Elephas maximus indicus: one gene and its partners. The protein of the gene in region 2 purifies or fractionates together with the protein of the main gene of each other region. This does not show direct contact. Links are inferred from orthologs where the notes say so. Each region holds a gene or a part of one and is shown on either strand. Other genes may lie near its edges.

What was found. The genes of interacting proteins can lie anywhere in the genome.
Region 1: the proteins of HNRNPU (region 2) and HNRNPAB purify together in Homo sapiens (affinity purification with mass spectrometry; 4 studies listed by BioGRID and IntAct, with this or other methods). This does not show direct contact. The link is inferred for Elephas maximus indicus from reciprocal best matches to the Homo sapiens genes HNRNPU and HNRNPAB.
Region 3: the proteins of HNRNPU (region 2) and FUS purify together in Homo sapiens (affinity purification with mass spectrometry; 7 studies listed by BioGRID and IntAct, with this or other methods). This does not show direct contact. The link is inferred for Elephas maximus indicus from reciprocal best matches to the Homo sapiens genes HNRNPU and FUS.

The regions. Positions count from the first base shown.
Region 1 is NC_064820.1:198,349,226-198,359,540, reverse strand, and holds the start of HNRNPAB (heterogeneous nuclear ribonucleoprotein A/B), read right to left. Parts: upstream 3,818-10,315; 5' UTR 3,612-3,817; intron 3,503-3,611; 5' UTR 3,479-3,502; coding exon 3,270-3,478; intron 2,497-3,269; coding exon 2,328-2,496; intron 1,665-2,327; coding exon 1,506-1,664; intron 1,352-1,505; coding exon 1,220-1,351; intron 1-1,219. UniProt on the Homo sapiens protein: Binds single-stranded RNA. Has a high affinity for G-rich and U-rich regions of hnRNA. Also binds to APOB mRNA transcripts around the RNA editing site.
Region 2 is NC_064842.1:19,262,724-19,272,811, reverse strand, and holds the start of HNRNPU (heterogeneous nuclear ribonucleoprotein U), read right to left. Parts: upstream 4,019-10,088; 5' UTR 3,777-4,018; coding exon 3,089-3,776; intron 2,233-3,088; coding exon 2,121-2,232; intron 2,035-2,120; coding exon 1,961-2,034; intron 8-1,960; coding exon 1-7. UniProt on the Homo sapiens protein: DNA- and RNA-binding protein involved in several cellular processes such as nuclear chromatin organization, telomere-length regulation, transcription, mRNA alternative splicing and stability, Xist-mediated transcriptional silencing and mitotic cell progression.
Region 3 is NC_064830.1:90,405,943-90,415,787, reverse strand, and holds the start of FUS (RNA-binding protein FUS), read right to left. Parts: upstream 3,818-9,845; 5' UTR 3,752-3,817; coding exon 3,739-3,751; intron 2,217-3,738; coding exon 2,192-2,216; intron 2,098-2,191; coding exon 1,943-2,097; intron 641-1,942; coding exon 496-640; intron 308-495; coding exon 114-307; intron 1-113. UniProt on the Homo sapiens protein: DNA/RNA-binding protein that plays a role in various cellular processes such as transcription regulation, RNA splicing, RNA transport, DNA repair and damage response. Binds to ssRNA containing the consensus sequence 5'-AGGUAA-3'.

The DNA of each region.
Region 1 (10,315 bases), on a different chromosome or scaffold from region 2:
GGTTTGGGGGTGGTGTAAGGTAGAGTGGCGGCCCTTCAAAATGCTACTTAGTTAAGTGTATAAAATAAGTCTCCTGACACACCCCCTGCCCCCATTAAAAGCCGTAAAAACCACTTTACACAGTATCCTCATACAAGCATACTCTTCCTAAAAAAGTGACAGGTCACCTCTACAAGTGATACACTCTACGGTATCCTAGTCTACTGAATTAGAAATGCCGAATACAATGAAGTAAACACATTTATTTCAAGACCCACCCCCAGCAGTCTCACTAGCACTGCCCTAGGCTCTTTCTCCCACTGTTTCACACTACAGTAGGCTAAAAAAAAAAAAAAATAGCCAGAGATGGCATTGTGGGGGGGGGGTGCGTAATTAACTAAGAATGCCCCACCCAGCAGCCCCTAAAGTGAATCCAACCTTCACAAACTCCCAGCAACGACAGCAGCTTCCAAGAGCCCCACCCTACCTGTCCCACCTTATCTGGCTGCCACTCCTGCTCAGACACAGAACTCACCACACCCAGGCCGCACCCTCAGCTCCCAACTGCCTCCTCGGCTGCCTGGTGGAACACTTGAAGCCTGGATGGCCCAGAGTTCAGTGGGAAGAACTCCACCTCTCACTGCACAGGATCCACTTATTTGAAGGCAAAACTGGCTCTGGATTTCAACTAGCCAGGTCCCTGGGAGCTCTTTGGGAAGGGCCTTTGCCTGGGGTGGGGGGTGACTAAAGTAATACCCACAGCAAATGAAGTGGAGCCAAGATTTGGTTTAAGAAAGGAGATAGAAGCAAAGCTCTGCAGCAGAGCAGGCTTCACCACAGAGAAAAATAGTGAGCGGCATAAATTCCATACCATCTCAAGACCTCAACTCCAGATTCACATACTTTAGACTCAAGATCCAGAACACCCCCACCTTATTTTCATACGGGAAAGGATACCCCCAGCTTGCTCTTCCCACAGACACCATGCCAACTCTCCTGCATCCCTCACAACCAGTTAACTGCCAGCTCTACCGTGTAAGAGCTACTTGAAGGCCGGTACCTCATCCAATATATTCAACCTGCCCCAGCCAGGGCAGCAGACGCTGCAGACAAACAGTAAGGGCCAAACACTCTTGAGAGCTCTTGCAGGTAGCCCACCTGGGTCTACAAAGCCCACACATGCGAAGGGCCAGTTCTCTAGCAGCAGGAGGCCAAGCATACAGACATATGGACACACTACCTTACTTCCACTGACAGTGTGGAACTTTTTCTCCAGAACCTTCTTCACAGGTTCCTCTTCTTTATAGGTGATAAAAACAAAGCCTCGTCTTTTGTTTGATTTTGGATCCATGGGAAGTTCGATGGCCTCAATCTGTAAACACAGGCAAAGCTCAGGGTGTGTGCCTCCCCTGGCCCAGAGCCTAGAGGACACAAGGAAAAAAGGCACTGGCCAGGCAAGGCTGCCAAGGACCAAGAGCAAAGCAGCCTCAGGGCAGTTAGCAGGTGACTCCTGGGAACACACTCACCTCTCCAAACTCTCCGAAGTACTCCCTGATTTTTTCTTCAGTGGCTTCGGGATTCAGACCCCCAACAAAAATTTTCTTCACTGGGTCCTTCTTCATGGCCATGGCCTTTTTGGGGTCAATGACACGGCCATCCAGCCTATGCTCCTTCTGGTCTAACACCTGTTCCAAAAAAAGGTGACTAGGTCTAACTTAGCTGCATGACCCTAGGCAATGCCCTTCTCTGAGCCACAAAACTCCCAAGCAGGTACACAATATGTGCTTCAACTCCTCCAAACTCTACCCCAGCCTGACTTCCCAACCCAATTTTCTTCAAAATCTGAAGCACCCTAATACCTATGAATCAGTCCCACCCTTGACTTTCTTCCTGTTCAGGCGGTCCCAGTGGAAGGCATGACTCCTCCAGAAATAAAGCAGCAGTGATTAAGAGTACAGGCTGGAGCTGGGCTATGGATCCTCCTGCCACCACTTACTAGTTGTGTGATTGCTTCATAAAATTCTGAGCCTTTATTTTTTCAACTGTAAGACGGTGCTAAAAATACCTACCTCATAGCAACTATAGATTCTTCTCTAATCTTTACTGAAGATAAGCACACAGAAAAATAATCTAATTAACCTCATCTTCCTTGACCACTCCAGCCCACACTCTTCTCTTCCCATTTTATCTGTACTTTTGCTTCTTCAAGAACACAACCTCTAACTGCTCTGCTTTTCCCAAAGCACTCAGCCACATGCAGAGCACAAAAACTAATCAGTCTAGAATGAACAATGTTCTCAACTCAAACCCTATGTATTAAGATTGCTGACACAAAGTCCCCAGCTTACCTTCTCCACACTAGTTGCATCCTTGAAGAGGATAAACCCAAACCCTCTTGACCGTCCAGTGTTGGGATCCATTTTTATCGTACAGTCAACGACCTCTCCAAATTTGGTAAAATAGTCTTTTAAGTCCTTTTTGCTGGTATCCCAGCTCAGGCCACCAACAAACATTTTTCTGTAACAGTAGGGTGAGGACAAGTAAGTCTTACAAGAACAGCATGATTTCAGAAAGAACTGACCCTCCCAAAACCGAAAGAACTACAAGTAAGGCCACCATCACAAAGGCCTACACAACCCTTGAAAACTGTTAGGATTTTACTCTCAAAGATGTACATCTCCACTACCCCCAAGTGACCCTAGACCCTTACAATGCTTAATACGGCATACCCCCAGGTCTCTCACCCAACGAGGAAAGGAAGAACAACCTCGCCAAGGGTACAGACCCTGACCACTCATAACTGGAATTTAATACGCCTAAAATCCGCTTTTCAGAGGTCTATCGTGACCCCTGTTTTTTAGCTCCTCCCGGAATCTCGCTCGAGGAACTGGAGGCTTCCGGGAGCCGAGACCACGTTGAGCCCGACTCCGCCCCCGACGGCGGGAGGCGGGAGGAAGGCCTAGGCCGGGGCGCGCGCCAACACCGCCCACGCAGCTCGAGCCCAGACCCGGCTTGGCCCCGGGTGCGAGCGCGGTCCCTCCTCTCGGCGGTCCGCCCCGCACGGCGCGAGCGGCCCTGGGGCGGCGCCAAAGTCGACCCAACAAACTCCGGCAAACTCCGGCGCGAGCGGCGGCGCGGCGAGCCCGGAGGGGAGGCCCGCGGCGAGCCCGGAGGCCAGACCCGCGCGGCCGCCACCAGGCCGGGCCGCCGCCGCCCCTCCCCCCGCCGCGTGGCGCCAACAAAAGGAGGCCCGGAACAAAGGCGGCGCCCCGGCCGCCCGCGGCACCTACCCCGCGTCCTCTTCGTTCTTGCTGGCGTTGATCTGGTCTCCCTCGGCGCTGTTCTGAGTCCCCGCCGGGGGGGCCGCGGTCCCGCTTCCGGCCCCTGTCGCGGCCCCGCTGCCGGTACCGGCCGGCGACTCGCCTTCGGGGGCGGCCTCGTGTCCGTTTTCGGTGGCGCCTGTCGTCTCCATGGGTTGCTCCTCACCCACTTCCGACATGCCTAGGCCGGTGCGCGGCGGCTCCTGCAACGAAAGGCCCCAAGCGGCGACCCGCGTCAGCTGGCCCGGCGCCCGCCCCGACCTCCCGAGCGCCCACCCGCCTGCCCGCCGGCTCACGGGCCGGGCCGCTTACCTCGCCGCCGATGACGCTGCGGGGCCCGCTCGTTCCCACTTGTCGGGGAAGGCGCCGCGGGCTCGGCCCCGCTCACGCTCGCGCTGCCGGGGTTGACCCGACCCCCTTCCCGCTGCCGCGACTGCCGCCGGGCAGAACCACCGACTCAAAGCCCTCTTCGGCCCGCGCGGTTCCGCCGCCTGACAATGCCGACTCGTGGCGCTCTTTATAATGCCGAAGCTGGGGCCACCTCGCAACAAGACGCGTCTTCATTGGATGCGGTCTCCCGTCACTCAGCTTTAGGCTGGCATATCATTGGCTGCGACGGCGCGCGCGCTCTAGATCCGGGCGGGCTTTGTCCTCATCTTAGAACCCGCGCGAGTTTGGGGCCTTGATGAGGGTTCTGGAGGCCGGGCGGGATGGTGGCGTGTTCCGGCTGCACGGCAGCCGGAGCCCAGCTTCGGAGAAGCCCAGAACGAACCCTGACTCCCTGAGGCCGTAGCCGCTAGCTCCCGTTACCCCCATCCCAGCACTGGCGGCCTCAACCGCCTCACTTCTCAAAAGGGGAACGGCGCGAGGAAGTCTCGCAGTCCAAGGTCGCCCGACTGGAAGAGGCAGAAGCCGGGCGCCGGAGTCTGAGCTTCCGGGATTGGGCGCATGGGTTCTCAGACCGCGCTCCTCTTTGCCCTTGGAGCCCCTCGTAGCCCCCCGCTCCCTGCCTTTTTGCTGCTTCCCCTTCCTACAGTGATGGGGCGGGGGGGAGGGGCATCTTGCCAATGGCGGGGGAAGAGCCATGGATCACGGTGTTCCCCAATCCTCGGTGCGCACCATATCGGTGATTAGCATCATAGTTATAGTTTTGTTTACCTAAATCTTTCCTTTAGATTAGTTCATTTTTGCTAAAATTTATTTTTAACAAAGCATAACCACGCCTGTGAAATCATGAGTTGCGGGGGACAGTGGTTGATTATCTTTTTTTAATACACGGAGATACAAAATCGCTTTATATCATCTACCAGGCTTCAAAGGCTTGCGTTACCCCATGATTGCTTTTAATCATTTGGGTTTGGGGCCCCAAAAGGCCCAGGATTACATCCTCAGAAGCTTGGATTCACCAAGTAGCAACAGAACACAAGTAGCTGATATTTCCAGCTAGATTCCTGCAGCCAGGCCCTGTGCAACAGGCTGAGCATTCTGTTCTCTCATTTGGTCTCCTAACAACCCTATGGTGGTGGTACCATCACAGTCACCAATTTATAAATAAGAAAATGGAAGGCAACAGCATGGCCAAGGCCACACAGCCAACCCTGCCCTAATCCAGTTAGCTGGACAATGGAATTACTGTGAGAATGAAAACTGACAATCACATTAATTAAAAATAAAAAAAAAATCTAGACTTCAGACTTTCTACAAAAATCTGAAGATTTGGCCACACTGGGCTGTTTTCCTCCAAGGCAGCAATCAAGAGCTACCCCCAGGTGAGCCAGTGCCCTGTGGTTCACCCCAGGGACTACCTTACCTCTTCACTCTTTCAGGCTAGATTCCTTGACTGAAATTCACATATCTCCATAAAACCTTAGTCATGTCACTGCCAGGAAATCTGGCAGTGAGGCTTGTGGGGAAGTCCCCAACCAACTCCCCAGCCCAACTCCACCTACTGCCCTGCCCACTCACAGAAATAAGGGCCAGTGATGTGGCCAACAAAAGATGGGTGAAGCTGCCCAAGCAATCAAAGTGATGCAGGCGATTGAGTTCAAAGTCAAATAGTGTAAATGCAGCCCCAGGACATAACTACTGAGGGCCTAGTTTCACTTAGTTTCCTGCACTCATCCACATGGATTCCTTTAGCAGAACTCAGAAATGCTTTCAATGACAGGTCAGGTTTGATCATAACAGGATTTGGACAGTGCTTCACAGTTTGCAAAATGCTTTTACCAACATTGCTTCATTGGAGCTTCAAAATAGCTTTGGGCAGTGTGATGGTTAATGTTTTGTGTCAACTTGGCTGGGCTGTGATTCTCAGTGTTTGTATGTGATTACCCCCATGATGGGATCTGCTGTTTCTTTGGGCATGTGGCCTGCATCCGAATTTAAGTGGACGTTCTGGCTTTTGGCTGCTCTGGATCCTGCAGCTGCCTTCTGTTTGTCTGACCTCCCAGTCTTGAGACCTGAGCTAACAGCTTATCTGCTGATCTTGGGATTCCTGAATCTTCACAGCTTATGAGCAATAGCCCTGCCCTCCTACCTACCAATCTTGAGTTCGCCAGACTCTGTGGCCACGTGAATCAGGAAAAGCCTCTGTCTTGATCCACAAACTTGGGACATTCCAGCCTCTACAATTGAGTGAGCCATTTCCATGATATAAGATCTGTCTATACAGGTATTTATACATTTTACTGGTTTTGCTTTTCTAGAGAACCCAGCCTAAGACAGGCAGTTATCCATACTTTATACCCAAGAACACTGAAATTGCATGGCTAAAAAGTGTGGCTGAAAAGCCATCACTTCCAATTGGATTGGAGATTGTTTCCAGAGCTCCTGGCTGCTGTGGGCCACAGTGTTTCTGAGCTTTGATTCCTTGGTCTAATTTAGAAGATCTCATATCTGATTAAATTTTTGTGAAGCTAGAATGAGACAATGGCTTAGAAAACATGTGGTAAATTATAAAGAACTGTGAACAGGCAGGGATCAACCTCAGCACAGAATGCTTTATACTGCACCCAAGGGTGTTTTGGACCAAGGCAGGACACCAGGCTGTTTGGAGGAAGTAGGGAGTCCCTCTGACACAAGGATCTCCCCTCTTGTTATTGGATCTTGGTTACAGACCTTAAGTAAAGAATACCTTCCATGGCAATGAGGTTCTCAAGTCATCCAGGGGCTTAATTACCCCCTAGAAACCCATTACACGGCCTAGTGTACAGAACCTGGACTCTGGGGATTCAAACTGTATAGAAATACATATGTAGAGTGTGTACAATCTTAGATCTGGAATACAGAGGACAGGCACAATGCATTTGGACAGGTTTTTATTTATTTTTAATTGTACAAACCTATTTTTCTCATGTTGTCCTTTTTTTTTTTTTTTTTTTTTAGCTGAGCCTGCAAGGTGGCAATTGTGTGAGTTAACTGCAGGTATGCTGTGACTCTGCTGAGGCCAATTCCCACTCTGGCCACTTCCCACACTTGCCCAAATGGGCTCCAGCTCCCCTGCTCCAGGGCCAACTCTGGCTACAGCCAGAGGACTCTTTCTAAAACACAAGTCTGGTTCTGTCACTTGTTGTTAGGTGCCATTGGGTCAGTTCTAGCTATTGCGGCCCTATGTACAACACAACGAAACACTGCCCAGTCCTTTGCCATCCTTACAATCATTGTTATGCTTGAGCCCATTGTTGCAGCCACTGTGTCAGTCCATCTTGTGGAGGGTCTTCCTTTTTTTCACTGACTCTCTACCAAGGATGATGTCGTTCTCCAGGTACTGGTCCCTCCTGATAACATGTCCAAAGTACGTGAGACATAGTCTCACCATCATTGCTTCTAAGGAGCATCCTGGCTGTACTTCCTCCAAGACAGATTTGTTCATTCTTCTGGCAGTCCATGGTATATTCAACATTTTTCTTTAACATCATAATTAAAAGGAATCAATTCTTCAGTCTTCCTTATTCATTGCCCAGTTTCACATGGATATGAGGCAATTAAAAATACTTTAGTCCTCGAAGTTACATCTTTGCTTTTTAACACTTTAAAGGGGTCTTTTGCAGTATATTTGCCCAATGCGATACGTCATTTGATTTCTTGACAGTTTCTTCCATGGGCCTTCATTGTGGATCCAATTAAAATGAAATCCTTCACAACTTCGATATTTTCTCCATTTATCATGAGGTTGCTTATTTGTCCAGTTGTGATGATTTCTGCTTTCTTTATGTTGAGGTGCAATCCATACAGAAGGCTGTACTCTCAATAAGTGCTTCAAGTCCTCTTCACTTTCAGCAAGTAAGGTTGTAGTCATCTTCATATCAAAGACTGTAAATGAGTCTTCCTCCAGTCCAGATGTCACATTCTTCTTCATATAGTTCAGCTTCTCAGAGTATCTACTCAGCATACAGATTGAGTAAGTATGGTGAAAGCATACAGCCCTGATGCAAACTTTCCTGACTTTAAACCATGCAGTATCACCTTGTGCTGTTTGAACTACTGCGTCTTGGTCTAAATACAGGTTCCTCGTGAGCACAATTAAGTGTTCTGGAATTCCCATTCTTCACAGTGTTATCCATAATTTGTTATGAACCATATGGTCAAATGCTTTTGCATGACAAATAAAACACAGGTAAACATCTTTCTGGTAGTCTCTGCTTTCAGCCAGGATCCATGTGACATCAGCAATGATATCCCTCATACCATGTCCTATTCTGAATCCGGCTTGAACTTCTGGCAGTTCTCTGTCAGTGTACTGCTGCAACTGCTTTTAAATGATCTTCAGTACCATTTTACTTGTGTGTGATATTAATGATGTTGTTCGATAATTTCCACATTCTGTTTAATCACCTTTCTTTGGAATGCGCACAAATATGGATTTGTTCCAGTTGGTTGGCCAGGAAGCTGTCTTCCAAATTTCTTAACATAGACTAGTGAACACCTCCAATGCTGCATGTTTGTTGAAACATTGTTATTCCATTGAGTCCTGGAGCCTTATTTTTCATCATTCCCTTCAGTGAAGCTTGGACTTCTTCCTTCAGTACCATTGGTTCTTGATCATTCACTACCTTCTGAAATGGCTAAATGTCGACCAGTTCTTTTTGGTAAAGTGACTCCGTGTATTCCTCCCATCTTCTTTTGATGCTTCCTGTGTTGTTCAAAAATTTCCCCGTAGAATCCTTCAGTATTGCAACTTGAGGCTTGAATTTTTCTTCAGTTCTTTCAGCTTGAGAAATGACGAGCATGTTCTTCCCTTTTGGCTTTATAACTCCAGATCTTTGCACATGTCATTATAATACTTTACTTTGTCTTCTCAAGCACCGTTTGAAATCTTCTGTTCAGCTCTTTTAGTTCGTCGTTTAGGAACTCAACATTCAAGAGCAAACTTCAGAGCCTCTTATGACATCCATTTTGGTCTTTCTCTCCTGTCTTTTTAATGATCTCATGCTTTCTTCGTGTGTGATGTCCTTGATGTCGTTCTACAACTCATCTGGTCTTTGTTCATTAGTGTTCAATACATCAAATCTCTTGAGATGGTCTCTAAATTCAGGTGGGATATACTTGTCTTGGTTATCTAGTGCTGCTATAACAGAAATCCCACAAGTGGATGGCTTTAACAAACAGGAGTTTATTCTCTCACAGTCTAGGAGGGTAGAAGTCCAAATTCAGGGCGTCACCTCTAGGGGAAGGCTTTCTCTCTCTGTTGGCTCTGGAGGAAGGTCCTTGTCATCAATCTTCCCCTGGACTAGGAGCTTCTCAGTGCAGGGACCCTGGGTCCGAAGGACATGCTCTACTCCTGGTGCTTCTTTCTTGGTGGTATGAGGTCCCCATGTCTCTCTGCCCACTTCTCTCTTTTATGTCTCAAAAGAGTTTGGCTCAAGACACTATCCAATCTTGTAGATTGAGTCCTGCTTCATTAATATGACTGCTACTAATCCCGTCTCATCAACACCATAGAGACAGGATTTACAGCACAGGAAAATCACAACAGATGCAAAAATGGTAGACAATCACACAATACTGTGAATCATGGCCTAACCAAATTGATACACAAATTTTGGGGGGACATGATTCAATCCATGACAACACTCAAGGGTGTAATTTCGAATCCACCAGGTGCTCCTTGGAAACCCTATGAGGCAGCTCTTCTCTGTCCTATAGGGTCGCTATGAGACGGAATCGGCTCGACCACAATGGGTTTGGTTTTTTTCTTTTTTTTGAGCTTGCTCTAATTTTCATCAGCTTCAGCTTGAACTTTCATCTGAGCAATGAATCGTGTTCGGAAGTTGGCCACCGGCCTTGTTCTGACTGATGGTATCAAGCTTCTTCATCATCTCTTTCCACAGATGTAGTTGATTTGATTCTTGTGTATTCTATGTGGTGAGGTCCACATGTATAGTTGCCATTTAGGTTGTTGAAAAGGGTATTTGCAATGAAGAAGTTGTTGGTCTTGCAAAATTCTGTCATGCGGTCTCTGGCATCGTTTGCCATATTTTCCAACTACCAGCGCTTCTTGAGAGCCCTGGTGACGCCATGGTTAAGTGTTTGGCTGCTAACCAAAAGGTCAGCAGTCCAAATCCACCAGCCGCTCCTTGGAAACCCTATGGGGCAGTTCTATTCTGTTCTATAGGGTCGCTATGAGTTGGGATTGACTTGAGAACAATGGGTTTAATCCTTTGTTTCCAACTTTCACATTCCAATCACCAGTAATTATCAATGCATCTTGATTGCATGTTTGATCAATTTCAGACTACAGAAGTTGGTAAAAATCTTCAGTTTCGTCATCTTTGTTATTAGTGGTTGGTGCGTAAATTTAAAAAATAGTCATGTTGATTGGTCTTCCTTCTAGGCATGTGGCTGTTATCCTATTACTGGCAACATCGCACTTCAGAATAGACCTTGAAATGTTCTTTTTGACAATGAATGCAACGTCATTCCTCTTCAATTTGTCATTCCCAGCATAGTAGACCATGTGATTGTCTGATTCAGAATGGCCAATATCAGTCTATTTCAGCTCACTAATGCCTATAATA
Region 2 (10,088 bases):
CAATTATCTGTAATTATATCAAGTATCACATTATATTCTTTTGACATCAATGTGAACATTTCTGCTACACAGACAAAACTTGGTTATTAAAATTTTGCATTTCTTGATGCTGCATCAAATTTATTTTTCAACGTATCATGCTGTCCTAGTTTCAATTCAAACCCCACTCCCACCAAAAAAATCACTCATATTACCAAATTAAAAGCTAAAGCATAAACTGCCTGTAAAACTAAGAAATACTAAGTTTTAAGCATGTAATCAAGACAATGTGACATTAATACATACCTGCTCTGCTCTTTACCTTGACATACAGGCAAGCAGTAGACGATAGCAGAAAATGAAAGCGAAGCATGCCAGAACCAGGCTGAATTTACCAGTGCCACAATAAACTGAAGGGAGGCCATGGCCAAATATTTTAAAGTAGGATTATGAGCTGTTGAGTTTGCCCTTTGTAACTGAACAACAGCCCTCCAGGCCCCAAACTCTGTTCTAAAACTTGGGAGGGGAGCCTTGATCTACATGGTGTAACTCTGGTCTAAAGGTGTTCATATTATAGCCCCTTTCTGAAGGATTGCTTGTCAGTCAGTAGGGATGGGATTATCTATGTCCTGGATCATCCAAAGCTTCTTAGCTATCTGTGGGTCACTGGCTTATCAGAATGCATCTTCTCAGCGTTCACACTTGAGAGCCAACACTGAGTCACAAACCCGGGGTTTTATTTATTTATTTTTGGAGTAAATAAATGCTACAGTTTGTAATCCTCCATAACTATCTTTGCTCTTAAAATTCCTTTTATCACAGATAGAACTTGCATCATATACAACCTATCTGAACCCAATACTGCACTTGAATTGCTATCTCTAATCTGCTGAAGACGTATTTACTTTCTAATGGCGGCCTTACCTTCTTGCAACATTACTTCGGCATTCCAAAAATTCCTAGTGACTTTATATTTAAGCAATGGAATTTACTATGAACTTTCAAATCAAAGAAGGACTTACCCATGTGAGGCTTTTTTAAAAATCTCAATGAGTATCTCAGCTACTTATAAATAGTGTTTAAAAAGAAATCAAGAATTTTACATTTACTCTTGCAAATCTGAATAAATCTACAGGGCATATCTTCAATCTACAGGGCAGGTCACCATCTTACCTGCTTGTACTTCAAGCCATTATTTCCACCCCTTATTCTACTTCTCTGAAAAAGCTTTGTGTTCTATCGAATACTAAACTAACAATTTTTACAATGAAAAAGATAACAAGGCTGACAGCCAAGGCCCATTTAGAGGTTTGCAATACTTCCTTATACTCAATTGCAACCCAACTGGCAAAAGTAGCAGTATTTACAGTGCTGCCATTGATACCATTCGCTGCTGAAGAAACTAGTGGCCCAGTGGTAGCCCACTGCTGCTGCCCAGGTCTTTGGAGGAAATCAACTTATGTTAAAGCAGCAGTTACTGAACTGGAATTGAGAACAAAAGAGCAGTTATTGAAAAAGTATTATTACAATCTTTTGTCAGAATAGGGAATATACTTGTGTGCTAACGGAAAAACCCATTACTAAGTATTCAACTAGCCCAAATAGCTCACTTTACATAATGCTACAAAAAATGTAATTACTTTACCATAGAACCCTATTAGGACAATTCATGGGTAGTCTTACAAGTTTGAATTAACTAATTAGTCAAAAATTGGCATTAATTTTATATTCCTGGTAAAAACTTCCAACTTATATAAAAATTACTAAATCACTAAAACCTGTGAAATTATCAATACAACTGATGCTGTACTAAATGTTTAGCTGCCAGAATCTGAATACAGACCACATCTTACTTATATTTAACAAATTACTTAACCTTACTAAATTTTCTATATTCAACATACAGCACTGTTTTCTAACGTACTGGAACCAAAAATCACCGCATGAGAAAGTGGGCGGGAGGAAAAATAGCTTCACTTACAAGTATCAAGGCAAACCACTGTGTCATCAAAGTGTTCATCTTCTTCTTCAACAGGTGGCTGAGGAGATTTAGCCCTGAAAGAGAAATTGTCTCCTGATACAGCTTTTTCCATCAACGAATGATGAACAGGTGACAATTAAACTCGGTTAGCATCCTCTACCTGCTGTATTTGTTCTCTTCAATGTACTCAAAATATCCACGACCGTGATCTTCCCGAGGTCTTTTAACACCTCTCTTTTTATCTCCGCTTTTCTGTTCTGTTTTGCCGTCTCCTATAATACACGACACCTTATAAGAGGCCAAGGCGCAAAACAAAAAAACCTTTTCTATTTTGAAACGCCAAAAGGCTCGACTCTCCTGTTCTTTTTTAAAAAAAAAAACTTTAAATCGACAAACCAATTGTGAATTTCCAACAACAATCAGTGCAACAGGATTTGAGCTAGTGACGCAGTCTAGACAGCGCTCGTTTTGCCAGTCTACTCCGCGATTTTAGAGACAGCGCAGGGAAAACCTGCGCGGCGCAAGCCGAGAGCCCACGTGTACCCCGAAGAGAGTTCAGGAAGGGGGGAAGGGCCGGGCCTCCGCTCCCGCGGCCTCCCCTCCCCCACCCGGGCCCGCGCTCCTCGGCCGCTTTGTACTGATCTTCCGCCCGGCTCCGCCCGCCGGAAGTGACGTCACGCCAGGCCCCTGCGCTCCTTGCACAATACAGCGGCGAAGAGCCGCCAAAGCGCGCCCGCCCCAGGACCGCGGGCCTCTCCCCTCCCCCCGAGACATGTGCCCGCACCGCGCGCACGCACCGCGGCGGCGCCACCGAGGGCCGACGGGGCTCCCTGCCGCCGCCCGCCCGCTCCTCTCGCCCCCCCACCGGCGGCAGCTGCAGCTCCCGGCTCTCGAGCCACATAATGGAGGCGCTGTCGCCACCGTCACACACACCAAGGCCGAGGCCTCACGGCTAATCCGGGATTCCCCGCACCCCCCCCACCAAGCCAGCCACCAGCAGGCTCCGCGCCTCCCTGGCCCGACGCCCCCGCAGGGCTCCCTCCCCCTGGCGGGGCTCCGGCAGGCCTGGGGCACGGTCCCCACCCGCGCGGGCCTCCCGCCGCGCGCAACGTACAACGCAGCACTCACCCGCCGCCGGAGCCCCGGGGCGACCGCCGCCTCCGCCGCCTTCCGCCTTCTTCTTACCTCCCGCCTGCTGCTGGCCCTGCCTCGACCCGGGCGGCGCCACCGTCACCGCGAACAGCGAGGTGGGGCCGCTGCTCTTCCCCGCGGCCTCCTTGGCGGCCCCGCGCTGCTGCTGGGGCTGTTGCTGCGGCGTCGCCGGCGGTTGCGGCTGCTGCTCCCCGTGCCCGTTTTCGTCGCCCGCGGCTTCCTCCTCGTCTCCGAGCTCATCTTCCCCTTCCTGGAAACCCTGATCGTCGCCGTTCTCGTCTTCCGAGCCGGCCTCCTCCTCCATAGGGCCCGAGTCGGCCGCCCCCGCGGCCCCGTTCTCCTCCCCGAGCTCCATCTGGTCGCCATCCAGGGCGGCGATCCCTTCCTCCTCATCTTCCTCCTCCTCCTCCTCCTCGTCGCCGGCGGTCGCGGCCTCTTGCTCGAGGCCTGCTCCGGAGCGCCCGGCGGAATCCCCGCCCAGATCTAGGCTGCCGTTCCCGGGCTCCATGGCGGGGCGGCCCCCGGCCTCCTCGTCGTCCAGCGCGGCCTGGAGTCGCTCCATGAGTTCGGCCTTGAGGCCCTTGTCGGAAAGGCGCCGCTTCTTGAGCTCCTCTTTCAACTCCGACACCTTCAGCTTTTTTACATTAACAGGCGAGGAACTCATCGTGAGGACCCCGATTCACCGCTAGGTGCTGGCTCAAACTCGGCTCCGCGCACACGGCCACTAGTGGCGGCTGCTGCTGCTGCTCTTCGGCCCGGGCGGCGGCTGCGGCTGCGGCTGGAGGTGGGTTCGTGCTGCAGAGCGGACCCGCCTGGTGTCGAACGGCGCCAATTCCTTTCACCCAGTTCGCGAGGGAGACGCGGAGACTCGCCTGGCGCGAGCGAGCACGCAACGTCCTCTCGCAGGGGCGGCGCCGCGCACGTAATATAGCCGCCCCGCCCCCCCGCTTACGGTAGCGCTGCGCAGTAGGAAAGCCGGAGCGCGCCCGCGCCTTGGCCCCGCCCCATTACCGTACTTACCTCCCCGCCCCCACGCCGAATCCCGGGCCGAGAGCGCGGCGCAGGCCGCGCATTGCGCTTCCAATTGGGACTGAGCAAATGGAGGAAAAGGAAACCGCCTTTCAGTTAAACCGACCTGCTGCAAAACCTATTGGCCTTTCTAATTTTTTAGTGCCGATTTCCGTTTTGCTTTTTGCTTTTCCAGGCCGGAGGCTGCTTGTATCCAAATGTTTTCAGTCCTCAACTTGGCATTTTCAATTCAAATCCCCAACCTTTTTATCCTTCCATCTTAGATTTGCTTTCTTATATATTTCAACCGCTATTTGTTTAAAACTCCAAGTTTTATTTCGGTTTTGATTTGTACAACACAAATGAGCAATTGCTATATGCAGAGTCCCGCCCCCCCACGTCTAATTTTTTGCCTTGCGAATTGAATTTTAAATTCTGAAGGGCGAGGGCAGAGCCTTTCTTTTGTCTTGGTGCAGGCTTGGGAGATAGAAACTTGCTTTAAGAGCGCGGTCTTCTGTAATGTATGGCACACTTCACAGGCCTTTGCATGGGAGCTGTTCTCTTGGTTTTAATAGACACAGAATTTAACAAGTCCGAGAACTGCGTTTCTGAGTTTACCCACCAAAAAGACGGATATTCAACAATACGCTGACCAATTTAGGACCTGGTCATCAGTTATGAAATCCCAGTAGCCAACAATGAGGATGAAACCCAACCAGGTCGTGCACTTTTATTCCTACTGGACTAAAACTGGTCAATCGAATCATGCTGAAACTATAAAAGCTTATGAAAAATAAAGGGCTAAGATTTTGTTTAAAAAATAGACTTTCACTCTCGAAATCTGTTATTCTGTTGTATTTTAGAAATTTAATTTTTCTTTTTATTAAATTAAAGGTGTCACATGTCTTTGAAGTCTTGATAGGGGTACCAGAATTGAGATTTGTGATAGAGATGAACTTCAGAAACCGCAGAAAATCTGCGCAGTGACCAGCCAGTCTTCCATTATCTGACTAAGGAGATCAGTTATGCCAACTGTTAGGTGCTTTAGCTGGCATAAAAATGCGCCAATGTTAATTTGAAATTTGGAAGTATAGAAATGTGTACTTAACTTTCTCCCATAGGCTAGTGTGATTTCACTGATTAATAAATTTTCTTTTAAAAGTTTGTATTTTGGAGCTGTTAAGAAGTATGTACCTCACCATGCATGCACGGCTAAAGATAAAATATTAACATTTGTGAAATGATTTGAGTTGAAATTAATAAACAATGTACAGTACTGGTTATTCTCGTTTCAGGTTAACTGAGGTGGTGGGCATAGCCCCCAAAATAGACTTCCAAATAGTGCCAAAAACTCATTTTAGCCTTTGGTTATAATGTCCTTGAAGCTTATAAAAAAGGTACAAAATAGAATTTGAACTCTTTGTCCTTGTTCAAAAATAGGAAGAGAGCTACAGGAGGCTCACACATTCACACACTAATTAGCCCCTAATGAGTCAGGTAAATACAATTATTCTGGTGGTCTTTAAATTTTTTTTTTTTTTTTTTTAGATATTACTTGCATTTTTAGACATTAGTGATATGAAAACAATTTCCATTTAACTGGAAAAAACTAAATTACAAAAATAAAGTTCATATATCTAAATATAAGATTTATAATAGCCATTCTTGGTAGTAAATCAGTTGTAATAATAAACTATGAACTATACCTTTAAGTGCACACTAAAAGGTCCCCTGGCTTTATCTCCAAGAGGTTTGTAGACTTTTAGAGCTGGATGGAGCCTGGAGATCATCTTTACTCTGCTTATTCTACACACAAGGAAACTGCGGTCCCTGCTCCCACACCAATGCTGTTTCATATCATCGCACAGCCTTAGACAACACTTGAAAGGGTAATAGTTTTTCTAAATGCTCAAAAAAACATCAGCTTACTCTTCCTTTTTTACAAAAGGAAGAAATCTGCCATGAGATGTTTTTATTTTTCCACTGAAAGTACAAATAGTGACTTATTTTACTAATTGTTTTTGCTTCTTATGCTTTTAATACTATCATGATAGACCTGTTCTACAGAGACTAACAAAAGTTCAGGGTTGTTGTTGTTATTCTTCTTAGGTGCCATCGAGTCAGCTCCAACTCATAGCGACCCTCTGCACAACAGAATGAAAAACTGTCTAGTCCTGTGCCATCCTCACAATTGTTGCTATGCTTGAGCCCATTGTTGCAGCCACTGTGTTAATCCATCTCACGAAGGTCTTCCTCTTTTTTGTTGACCTTCTACCAAGCATGATGTCCTTCTCCAGGGACTGATCCTTCCTGATAACATGTCCAAAGTATGTGAGATGTAAGTCTTGCTGTCCTTCCTTCTAAGGAGCACTCTGGTTGTACTTCTTCCAAGACAAATTTGTTCCTTCTTTTGGCAGTTCAAGATATATTCAATATTCTTCATCAGCAACACAATTCAAAGGTGTCCATTCATCTTTGGTCTTCCTTAGCCATTGTCCAACTTTGCCATGCATATGAGGCGTTTGAAAACACCATGGCTTGGGTCAGGCGCACCTTAGTCCTCAAGGTGGCATTTTTGCTTTTTAATGCATTAAAGAGGTCTTTGCAGCAGATTTGCCCAATGCAATGCGTCTTTTGATTTCTTGACTGCTGCTTCCATGGGTGTTGATTGTGGATTCAAGTAAAATGAAATCCTTAACAACCTCAATCTTTTCTCCGTTTATCATGATGTTATTTATTGGTCCAATTGTGAAGACTTTTGTTTTCTTTATGTTGAGGTGCAATCCATACTGAAGGCTGTAGTCTTTGATCTTCATCAGTAAGTGCTTCAAGTCCTCTTCACTTTCAGCAGGCAAGGTTGTGTCACTTGGAGTCTTCCTCCAATCCTGATGCCCCATCCTTCTTCATATTGTTCAGCTTCTTGGATTATTTGCTCAGCACACAGATTGAATAGGTATGGTGAAAGGATACAGCCCTGATATATACCTTTCCTGACTTTAAACCACTCAGTATCCCCTTGTTCTGTTCAAAAGACTGCCTTTTGATCCATGTACAGATTCCTCATGAGCACAATTAAGTGTTCTGGAATTCCCAGTTCTCTGCAATGCTATTCAAAATTTGTTATGATCCACACAGGTGAATGCCTTAGCATAGTCAATAAAACACAGGTAAACATCTTTCTGGTATTCTGTGCTTTCAGCTAGGATCTATCTGACATCCACAATGATATCCCTGTTTCCGCGTCCTCTTCTAAATCTGGTTTGAATTTCTGGCAGTTCTTTGTAGATATGCAGCTGCAACCGCTTTTGAATGATCTTCAGAAAAATTTTGCTTGCATGTGATATTAATGATATTGTTTGATAATTTCCGCATTCGGTTGGATCACCTTTTTTTGGGAATAGGCATAAATATGGATCTCTTCCAGTTGATTGGCCAGGTACCTGTCTTCCAAATTCCTTGGCATAGAGGAGCAAGTGCTTCCAGCGCTGCATCCATTAGTTGAAACATCTCAGTTGGTATTCGGTCAGTTCCCAGAGGCTTGTTTTTCTCCAGTGCCTTCGGTGACATTTGGACTTCTTCCTTCAGTGATCGGTTCCTGATCATATGTTACCCCCTGAATTTCTGAGGGATCTATAAGGAACTTGAAATTCCCTCCTTTTGAAGTCCCAGAGCCTACCAAGAATACAGAGTGGAAGAGGGCACAAATTAACTCTCAGTAGCAAAAAGTGATTATCGAATTATCCATGGATAATAGGTCTATGAGAGGTCATTTCAAAGTTTGGGTGCTCGGAATATATAGCTTACATTTTGAGTTTGAATGAAAGAAAGAAATACAGGCTTTCTCCGCTATCCAAAAGGAGATTGTTCCTATGAAAATCTTTGGTAAGCCAAAACGGCATAAAACAAAGACACAATTACCATTAATTCATACAGGAAAAAATTTTGAGCATTCTCAGACCCAGTACATAACCTACCAAACCATACCAAGTAACCCATAAAACTTAAAACAACGCTGACATATAGTAAAAGCAGAAATGATAACATAAATACGCAGCCTGTATAAAATAAAAATAATGTATGTAGAGTGTAGTAAAATGTCCAGTTTTACACTAAGTGTAACACCCTTACGAGCTCACCTAGGCTTTTCTGATACTTTAAGATGCATCATGCTAACAGATGCACAAAATAAATCGAGATAAAGCACAGATACTCACAAAGTTATGGTGGCTTGATGCTAAGATGCTGAGTGTAGTTCCCGGGCAAGGGGCTTGGCAACATCACTCTTGCTGCTCTGGGTACACGCTGCCTGTTTAATGGCTTGCTGCAAAACAAACTCTGAATGCTATTGCCACTTTTAGCCTTTTTTTTTTGGTAAAAGTGGAAATCCTCTTCGGATTTCTTTCCGTTAGTGAAAACAGGTACTGACGTAGGTCTTTCTTAAAAGGGAAGTGGTATAAAATGAATTTTCAAAAAGCAGGGGACACCTATATACCTAAATGCTATACTTTGTCACAAAATTTCAGCAAATATTTTTTTGAGCACCTTCTCTAACCCAGGCACTAGCCTACTAGGGATACAGCAGTGAACCATGCAAACACACCTTCACTGTCTTAGGAAGAGTTAGTAAATAAATAAAATAATTGAGATGTTGACAGTACCCATTGAAACCTGTTGCCATCAAGTTGGTTCCAATTCATAGCGAGAGGGGCAGGACGTGCTGAGATGGGGGTGAGTTTTCAGTTATAAATGGGGTGGTCAGGGAAACCCAACTAATAAGTTAACATAAATGCATACACTAGAGGAGGTGGAGGCAGAGGGAGCAGCAAACGCAGAGGCCTGAGGGGAACAACAGTGATCAGGGGTAAGAGCGAAGCGGGGAGATGCAGATTGCAGGTGGTTTTGTAAGGATTTTGGCTTTTGCCTCCAGTGACAGGGAAGATGTGGAAGGGTTGTTACCAGAGGAGTGACATGAACTGACAAATGCTCAATTAAGTAGACTCAACATGGGCTTTACTAATCATGACATTTTTCCATTTAACTCTTTTTTTTAATAGTATACCCAAAACCAAGCCAAACCCATTGTCAATGAGTTGATCCTGACTCATAGGAACCCTGTACGTAAAAGAACTGCCCCATAGGGTTTCCAAGGGTATTATCTTTATGGGAGCAGATCATATCTTTCTCCCACAGAGCTACTGGTGGGTTCCTGCCACAGACCTTTTGATTAGCAGCCAAGTTCTTAATCACTGCACTACTAGGGTTCCTTTTTGCAAGTCCAGTTTAAACTGAATTGGTGGGTTCGAACCACTAACCTTACCCACTGACCTTTCGCTTAGCAACCAAGCACTTTAGCCACTCTGCCACCAGGGCTCCTTAACTTAAATTAATGAAAGAAGCAATTAAATATGTTAAGATGCATTTTCCAATGTATTTTTAAAAAGGTATAAGAAGTTACAAGTACCTTCAAACTATTATATGCTAAAAGCACACATTTTTCCTACAACTTAACGACAAAAAGCCCAATTTAAAAATAGGCAAAGGACTTGAATACACATTTCTCCAACGAAGATATATTGTTGTTCTCGTTGTTAGGTGCCGTTGAGTCAGTTTTGACTCATAGAGGCCCCACATACAACAACAAAACGAAACACTGCCCGGTCCTGCGCAACCCTCACAATCATTGCTATGCTTGAGCCCATTGTTGTAGCCACTGTGTCAACCCATTTCACTGAGAGTCGTCTTCTTTTTCACTGACTGTCCACTTTACCAAGCATGATATCATTCTCCAGGGACTGGTCCCTCTTGATAACATGTCCAAAGTACATGAGACAAAGTCTCGCCATCCCCATTTCTAAGCAGCATTCTGGCTATATTCTTCCAAAACAGATTTGTTTGTTCTTTTGATGTATTCAATATTCTTCTCCAACACCATAATTCAAAGGCATCAGTTCTTCAGTTTTCCTTATTA
Region 3 (9,845 bases), on a different chromosome or scaffold from region 2:
AAATACCTAAGGAACAAGAAAACTCAGGAATATTCTTGAAGAGCTAAGCAGTAGAATACAAAAATTCTTAAATAGGTAAAGAGAACACAGGCAAAGCTGCAGCTCCTTCTCACCTCCACCACCTCCTCCTCCGCCGCCACCCCCACTGCTACTGTTGTACTGGTTCTGCTGTCCATAGCCCTGAGGGGGATTGTAGGAGCTTTGCTGCTGTCCGTAGCTTTGCTGCTGTCCACCATAGCCAGACTGTTGGCCATAGCCTCCACTCTGAGGCTGCCCATAGCTGCTGCTCTGAGAACTGCTTCCATAGCTAAAGGAACAAAAACCAGAACCATAGCAGCATGGCCAAAACACCCTTTCACTTCTAGCGTACCCTCTTCTCTGAACCCAACACAAACACCCCCAATCCCTCATAATTGTTCCTATTGTTAGTCACATTATCATGCCTTTATCAATTCATCTCCAATACTCCAAGCCTTCCCCTCGTACCTCCCTTACCTTCCTGAAGTGCTGCTGGGAGCTGGAGGCTGGCCATAACCAGGATAGGAAGACTGCTGCCCGTAAGATGACTGGGAACTCTGGCTACTGCTATAGCCACCACTTGAGCCATATCCCTGGGGAGCTGACTGGGTGCCATAGCCTGCTAAAAGGAAATGAAAAGGAAGCACAAAGGCTATGAAAAGAGAGAGAAGGTACAAAACGGGTTGAAGAAATTGTTATATACTACCTTTTTATAGACTGAACCGTGTCCCCCAAAAGTTATGTGTTGTAGTCCTAACACCTGGTGGCACAGTGATTAAGAGCTTGGGTGCTAACCAAAAGGTCTGCAGTTTGAATCCACCAGCCACTCCCTGGAAACCCTACGGAGCAGTTCTACTCTGTCCTATAGAGTTCCTATGAGTTAGAATCAACTAGATGGCAGTGGGTTTGATCCCTATGGCTATAATCCCATTTCAGAATAGATTTTGTTATGTTAATGAGTCAGATTCCGTCTAGGGTGTGTCTTAAACCACTTTTCAGATATAAAACAAGCAGATTAAGCAAGTAACCCGGCAGGCAAGTAGAGACAGGGACAATACAAGCCACATGATGGCCAAGAAACCTAGGAATAGAAGCTGAAAAGAAACAAGGACCTTCCCCCAGAGTGGACAGAGAGAGCATTCCCTTAGAACAGGTGCCCTGAATTCAGACTCCTAGCCTCCTAAACTGTGAAAAAGTAAATTTCTGATTGTTAAACCCAACTACTTGTGGTATTTGTTACAGCAATGCTACGTAACCAATACACTAACTGATCCTCACCCATACTTGAAAAGTCAGCCTCTTAGAAGGTACAAGTGAATCTTGTAACTCAAAGCCTTAAATTTACACTTCTCTTCCACCTGAAGTCTACTGCCTCAACTTACTATCAACTCTTTAGTTCAAAGAGACCCAAAGACAGTCTCTAAGACCACCATCTAATTGTAGCCCAAAAAATCCTATTTATTAATAGCATTTTAACATGCTGGTTATGTGTTCAGCACATACAACACCACTCACCTTATTTACTTACCCTTCTGGGCCTCAAGGCAAATTCAACCTCCTAGTGTATCACGTGTTGTACGGTAACAGGACTTTAAACATCTTTAAGTAAACCATACCTAAGCCTAAAAAATGTTCCTCTGTTCAGGGAATACCCTCCCCACATTTCACTTTCATAATCAAAGGGGAAATGTGAAAAGGTCCAGCAAAAATTAAAAAGATAAAAAGCCAAAGGCAGGAAAAAAAGTTACAAACCAACATGTATTTCCGTTTGAAACAAAAGACTCTGGCCAGAGAAGTTCTACATTTTATAGACAGGCTATGTGCCAAAAAAAAAGGACAATTTCAACATTTCCCCACTGTTCAGGTTTAAGAAAAGCAACACTCAATGCAGGAATAGGTCAAGTGCCCACTAAAAGAGACTCACTGTTCTGAGTCTGTCCATAAGAAGAACTATAGCTGCTCTGGCCATAACCTGAAGTGTCCGCTGAAGGGCCGTAACCACTGTAACTCTGTTGTCCGTAGGGCTGACTGCTCTGCTGGGAGTAGCCCTGCCCAGGTTGGGTGGGATAGGCTCCGTAGCTGGTCAAAAAAAAAAAAAAAAAACCAGATTAGAGAAAGACTCCTTGGCCACCCTGCCCTGTACAAACCCTGGAAGCTGAGACTCAACACTCACCTTTGGGTTGCTTGTTGGGTATAATCTGCAAAAAGAAAATACAAATCACATTACCTTCAGCCAATCCTGAAAGAGTAGGATAAAGCTAAAACTCCTTAACTCAATCACTGGGATTTCCAAGAAAAAACAACAAGCAAGACTTACAAAAACATAAATTACCCCATGAGACTCTAGTTGAGAGGAGGGGCAAGCTGGCGGATTTGTCAAATTTTCTTACAGCAAAGAATGATAACCATACAAAGAAAACGCAAATCTCTGCAGTGACCAAAGGGAAAAACAGCTACAATTTTCTGCAAAGGAACAGCTCTAAAACATTTTACATGCGTTTTCACAACCACTCTTTAAGGAAAGCACTACCAAGAGTAAAGACAGAGTAACATGCCCTACGTCAGAGACAGGGCTGAATTCAAGCCCGAGGTAGGAACGCTCGGAATGCTGTCTCCATTCTTTCAACCCAAAGACATTCTTGTCTCAAGTGTCCATTTTCCGACTTCTGTCCAATCTTACAGATCGGCCAACGTGGGCTTTTGGCACTAACCCAGGCAACCAAAAGAACCGCCCCCCCCTTGGCCCCAAACAGGAGAGCCATCAGTTCGCCTCAGGAAGCAAATGGTACTCAAGTCCCCAGTCCTGTGAAGCTTGAGAGTTCTTTCCTCATCCACCCTGCCTTCTTTGGAGCCTTGGGGAGACTCGGCAAACCGAACGGAGCGAAAGCGCTTTTATAACGCCAGATTAAAAGAGGTACGAACATCCGTACAGGAAATGAGGCGTTTCCCCCAAAGGGAAAGGCAAAAGGGAAGAGGGTGTGGCCCGAGCGGCCGTGCCTTTCGGCTCCCATCTCAAAAAAAAAAAATTTAGGCGGGAAAATCCTCGGGTCTGGTCTCCAAATCCCCTGGTCTCTCTTCCTGTTGCCCCCAGACCGTTAGGCCAGTGCGTGGCCCTGATCCCGAGCCTCCGCCCCCAGCCGCGTGGCAACCAAGGCGGGAACGGAGCAGTCCCGCCCCTTCCCGAGGGACCCCGGGGGTGAGACGGTGTCACACCGGACGCACGCCGCAGGCTCTCCAGCGGAGGGCCTCGCGACAAAAAACGGGGCTAGCACGAGGCGGCAGAAGGGTGCGCGCAGCTAAGGGGAGGGACCGCCAGAGCGCGTGCGCGCACCGAGTGCCCGGATGCAGCACTGCGACAAAGCGGTCTAGAGCGCGGGGCTGGGAGCGAAGGAAAAGCCTCTCCTGGGTCCGACCGTCTCCATCCTTACCTCATGCTTCAAATCATCAAGAAACGTTCCTCACCCTCCCCCCACAGCCACCTCAAGTAAAAGGAAGACCGACCCACCCACCCCGCGCTCGCAGGCCCCGAAGGAACGAAACAAAATGGCGACATCGGCCTCCCCCTCCCACCCTTCTCCGCTGCTTCCCGCCCCAGGGGTGCGTGGAGACGATTCCACACGCAGTCGCCGCCCCGGTCCCACTGAAAAACAAAAGCCCAGCTACAAGGAAACGAGGCCTTAGGGCTGGCGCGCCACCGCCGCCTCGCGCCCACACACATACCGTTTGAGGCCATGTCCGCGCACGCGCGCACAAGCCGACAAGCAACAAGATTCCACCACCACGGAACACCGACGCCTCGAGGACTGAGCAACCCCGCCTCCTGCGTCGAGGCTTATGTACGCCTCCCCCGCCTACGTACAGCAGGGGACTGTACCAAATGCGGAAAAAGAAAAAGTGAAGCAGGGCTGGATTCTACCACGCTTCAAGAAGTATAGACAGTTCAGGCCTCAGGAAGAAGCATATTAACCTAGAATATTAATAATCATAATATATAATCATACTTTCCTATAAAACACTCTAATTTTCTCTGACGCGCTACCCCACGATTCTCCTCTACCCCTGTAATTGCATAATGGTAGAGTCCGATGACCTGCTGGGGGCGGGGCGAAGGGCCCAGGGAGCCGGCGGTAGTCAAAGCCGGGATTTGCTGGGCGGGAAGCGAAATTCTCGTCTCTGGCCGCTTTCACTGGGCCTCGCTTTCACTCAGGACAGGGAGTTCTTGCCTTCCGCTTCGCCAGCTGAACTGTGCCGCCCGCCGCCAACCTCCCTTGCACACTCACACCCCCGCTGACTCTAACGCTCCTTTTCCGACGCACATGAACTCTCTCACTGCCTCAATTTTCACTTCATTTTTCATGGCTGCCTATTCTCAGTCCCTACGAGGGTGTGTAGATTTTGAGGTTAATTTAATTTGAAAGGAAGCATAGATTTAGCCCAGGCGCGTTTCGCCCAAACCTTCAGGCTTTGCCCCTTATTAGCCGTGGGAGGGGAAAGCCCACACCTCCCTGGACTTCGGAGAACCTTGGGAGCTACCTTTTATTCTCCTGAATCCCCACCAAGGCACCAGTTTAGAGATGCCAGTAATAAATGACATTTGTTATAAGGCGTAAGTGGTTTAAAAATGCGCAATAACTGCGTTCCCATCACCATTTTGTGCGGTCGATTCCAACTCATACCGACACTCCCATAGAGTTTCCAAGGAGCACCTGGTGGATTTGAACCGCTGGCCCTTTGGTTAGCAGCCATAGTACTTAACCACTATGCCACCAAGGCTTCCTACGTTTTATAGGTAAGAAAAGTGAGTCTCAGGCCAAGTAAATCCATGATTGTAGGGCAGCTAAAGGTCAGTGGTGCCATTTGAATCCAGGTCTGTGTGACTGCAAAACATTCCTTTTGTTGGCTACATGAACACTTTGGAGTGTTCAGAAGCCTGTTCACTTCCCTTGAGAGCAAAGAGAAAAAATGAAATTCAGATTAACTCACAACTTCCACTCTATAATAAGCCTTGCTTGGAGAAGGCAACTTTTAACTCTAGAATAAAACAAAGGTTACTCCTGATAACATGCCATGCAAATTTTCCTTCCCAACTTACTTCTCCAGAAGTCACTTTGTAGGTTGGACGCGTTTTTCTAGAGAAACAATGAGGGGTACGACCCAACCTGCCCATAAACTTCCATTAAACCTCTGATTTGGGCCTTGAACACACACACACACACACGCTTTGGAAGGGTAATGAAACTCTGAAGTGAGGGCAAAGGGAAATCCATCATTGATTCATTCATTCAACAAATATTCATTAAACACCTACCGGGTTCCAGACAAGGGAGCCCTGGTGGACCCTGTTCTAGGCAGTGGAGATGCATTAGTGTAAAAACAGATGACGCTAGCATTTAATACTGATATGTGTTATATCTATAGATTGTTGTTGTTTTGGTTAGGTTCTGACTCATAGCAACCCTATGTACAACAGAATGAAACACTGCCCGGTCGTGCATCATCCTCACAATCCTTATGCTTGAGCCCATTGTTGCAGCCACTGTGTCAGCCCACCTCACGGAGGGTCTTCCTCTTTTTCGCTGACACTCTACTTTTCCAACCATGACATCCTTCTCCAGAGACTCAACCCTCCCGATATCAACCCTCCCGATAATATGTCCAAAAGTATGTGAGACGTAGCCTTGCTCTCTTTGTTTCTAAGGAGCATTTTGGTTGTACTTCTTCCAAGACAGATTTATTTGTTCTTTTGGCAGTCCATGGTATATTCAATATTCTTTGCTAACACCACAATTAAAAGGTGTCAATTCTTCGGTCTTCCTTATTCATCATCCGGCTTTCACATGCCTAAGAGGCAATCAAAAACATCATAGCTTGGGTCAGGCGCCCCTTAATCTCCAATGTGACATGTTTGCTTTTCAACACTTTAAAGAGATCTTTTGCAGCAGATTTGCCCAAAGCAATGCATTGTTTGATTTCTTGACTGCCACTTCCATGGGTGTTGATTGTAAATCCAAGTAAAATGAAATCCTTGACAACATCAATCTTTTCTCTGTTTATCGTGATGCTGCTTATTGGTCCATTTGTGAGGATTTTTGTTTTCTTTATGTTGAGGTATAATCCATACTGAAAGCTGTGATCTTTGGTCTTCATCACCAAATGCTTCAAGTTCTCTTCACTTTCGGCAAGCAAGATTGTGTCATCTGCATAACACAGGTCGTTAATGAGTCTTCCTCCAGTCCTGATGCCACATTCCTCTTTATATAGTCCAGCTACTTGGATTATTTGCTCAGCATACAGAATGAATAAAAACCAAACCTGTTGCTGTCAAGTTGATTCCAACTCATAGCAATCCTATGGGACAGAGTAGAATTGTCCTGTAGAGTTTCCAAGGAGTGCCTGGTGAATTCGAACTGCCACGTTTTGGTTAATGGTGTAGCTCTTAACCACTACGCCACTAGGGTTTCCACAGAGTGAATAGGTATAGTGAAAGGATACAACCCTGACACACACTTTTCCTGATTTTAAACCACGCAGTGCCCCCTCGTTCTGTTCCAACTACTGCCTCTTGATCTACGTGTACATTCCTCATGAGCACAGTTAAGTGTTCTGGAATTCCCATTCTTCCCGATGTTATCCATAACTTGTTATGATCCACAGATGTTATGATCCACACTATGCCTTTGATTAGTCAATAAAATACAAGTAAACATCCTTCTCGTATTCTCTGCTTTCAGCCAGGATCCATCTGACATCAACAATGATATCCTTCATTCCACATCCTTTTCTGAATCCAGCTTGAATTTCTGGCAGTTTCCTGATGATATACTGCTGCAGCCACTTTTGAATGATCTTCAGTAAAATTTTTCTTGTGTGTGATATTAATGATATTGTTCGATAATTTCTGCATTTGGTTGAATTTCCTTTCCTGGGAATAGGCATAAATATGGATCTTTTCTGGTGGGTTGGCCAGGTAACTGTCTTCCAAATTTCTTGGCGTAGACGAGTGAGCACTTCCAGAGCTGCCTCTGTTTGTTGAAACATCTCAATTGTTATTCCATCAATTCCTAGAGACTTGTATTTTGCCCGTGCCTTTAGTGCAGCTTGGACCTCTTGCATCAGTACCATCGGTTCCTGATCATATGCTACCTCTTGAAATGGTTGCAGGTCAACCAATTCCTAATAATAAAAATACATATTATATTTATGTGTTATAAAACCGAAAACCAAATCCAGTGCCGTCGAGTTGATTCTGACTCATAGCGACCCTATAGGACAGAGTAGAACTGCCCCATAGAGTTTCCAAGGAGCCCCTGGTGGATTCAAACTGCTGACCCTTTAGTTAGCAGCCGTAGCACTTAACCACTATGCCACCAGGGTTTCCTTATGTGTTATAGCTATACATAATATATTTATAATAGCTAGCACTTTGATAAGGCTTATTAAGTGTCAGGCACTGTTTTGAGTGCTTTGAGTATAACTTGTTTAATCTTATTTAAACAAGTAAGCCTATGTGGTTGGTGTGAGGATTACAATTTACAGATGAGGAAATAAGTACAGAAAGGTCAAGAGCTGTGCCCAGGGCCACACAGAAAGTGGCAAAGCCAGGTTCTCAACCTAAGGAGGCGGACTCAGAGTTGCCGCTTGTTACTCTACACTTAGCAAACATAGTTTGAGCACTGCATAGCATGGATAAAAAAAGACCAGGTTCCTGAATCACAGGACCTTATGGCCAGTGGGTAACAGTGGCACATGAACTTCAAAGTGTACTTGAATCAAATATGCTAAGTTTTATAACATGGAATCAAGAACTCTGGAAACACTGCTGAGAAAGGAAGTGATCCATCAGGTGGACAACCAGTTGCTGTTGAGTTGACTCTGACTCATGGTGACCCCATGTGTGTCAGAGTAGAACGGTGCTCCATAGGGTTTTCAATGGCTGACTTTTCAGAAGCAGATTGCCAGGCCTTTCTTCTAAGCACCTTTGGGTAGACTTGAACCTTCAACCTTTTGGTTAGTTAACCATTTGCACCACCCAGGGATTCTAAGTGGACAACCAAAGAACACTAAAGAGGAGTGGTAACATTAAAGCCAGGCCTGATAGGATAAGTAGCAGTTCTCCAAGCATCAAGGGAGGAAGGGGTATAACAGGCAGAAGGAATAGCATGGGTGAATAAAGGCACTCATGCGACAGAGTGGTGGAGAGTGGCAGGCTCAAATTGTGACCGCTGAAAAGCTGCGTTCCAGCCGCCATTTCTCAGGGCTTTTCTCTCTCAGTGGACCTCTCCTGATTCACACAACATGGGGGCCTCTCACTCCTTCTCAAAAACCTCCTTACTTGACACCCCTGCTCTTCACCCTCCCACCTCTCCCACTGTCTCCTTTCCCTACAGTCTCTTCTTCTGCTCTCCCTGTAGACAGCAGTGTTCTCTGAGGTTCCGTCTTCAGCCTTTGCTTCTCTTTCAAGACCCAACACCACTGTGGCCTGGCATGAAATGTGGCCTACATGTTGTTTCTAAAACTATTTAACTAGGCAAGCAATGTCACAAAACGATATGCGTATTGTTTAATGAGAAACTAATTTGCTCTGTAAACCTTCACCTAAAGCACAATTTTAAGAAACTAACTAATTGCCGACATTGACAATACTGAAGTGTTGCACAAAAACACAAACTTCTGACTTTTCTTGAAAAATGGAGGCTTTGGCCCTCCTGGGCTCTCTTTCCCATAGGGCAAGGGTCAGCTGGAACAAGAAGCTACTGCCTTTAGCTGGGGTCAGTGCTTGTAGTTCCCCTCAGCCTCTCTTACACCCTAATGTTTTGACACAGAAGCCAGTGCTCATTGCCATTTGTTTCAGGTGTTAAAGCAGCTTTTCTTGGAGTTAAAAGGAAGGAGAGATATTTCTTTCCTTCAAAAGTAGAAAAACCAAAGAGGACCTGGTTTTCAGGCCTCCAGCTGGCCCTTAGAGGATGTTACTTTTGTGACCTCCTTCCAGACCAGGGGTTTTTAACCTCTTTTGTGCCAATCCCCTTGGGGGTCTGAAGGCTATGGAGCTCAGAATAATATTCTTAAATGCATAAAGCAAATTTCATAAGAATACAAAGAAAACCAATTGAATAGAAACACAGTTAGCAAAATATTTTTAAAAACATCTTTGTGGTATACTAATGCATTAAGTATAAAGATCTACTGGCAAGTCCAACGACTTTCATAATTTTGACATACAGTAGAATGTAAAAAATATATAAGATAGTTTCAAATATTTAAGATAACCAAAACACGTTGCCGTCGAGTCGATTCCAACTCATAGCGACCCTATAGAACAGAGTAAAACTGCCCCATAGGGTTTCCAAGGAGCAGCCATAACTCTTAAACACTACACCACCAGGGTTTCCTGTTTAAGATAAGTTGTTGCAAACTGTGATGTGATAGAGATTTCTGTTGGTGACAAAGGCCCAGGTACTGCCAATGCTGCTAGGATTTGTTGCCTAGAGTCATCATATTGAGAAAAATGCAAAGTGTTGGTTAGAGGTTAGTGAAAATAAAGACATAATATTTTCCCATCAAATATGGGACTCCTTGAGTGCTATTCTCAGACCCTTCCAGGGACTTCAGGTTAAAAACTCTGGTTCTAGACAATTTCATCCACACCATGCCTTCAGCTCTCAAATTTGTATGTTCAGCTCTAACTCAGAACTCTGAGTTCTAAGCCTTGGTCATTTCTAGCCCAATTTTGTTACAGATGCATCACATGAGATTTGAGACAGCAACCATGAATGGAAAGTTCAGATATCCTAGCCAGCATAGTGGCTGAGGTCTTTGGTTCTTCAGGG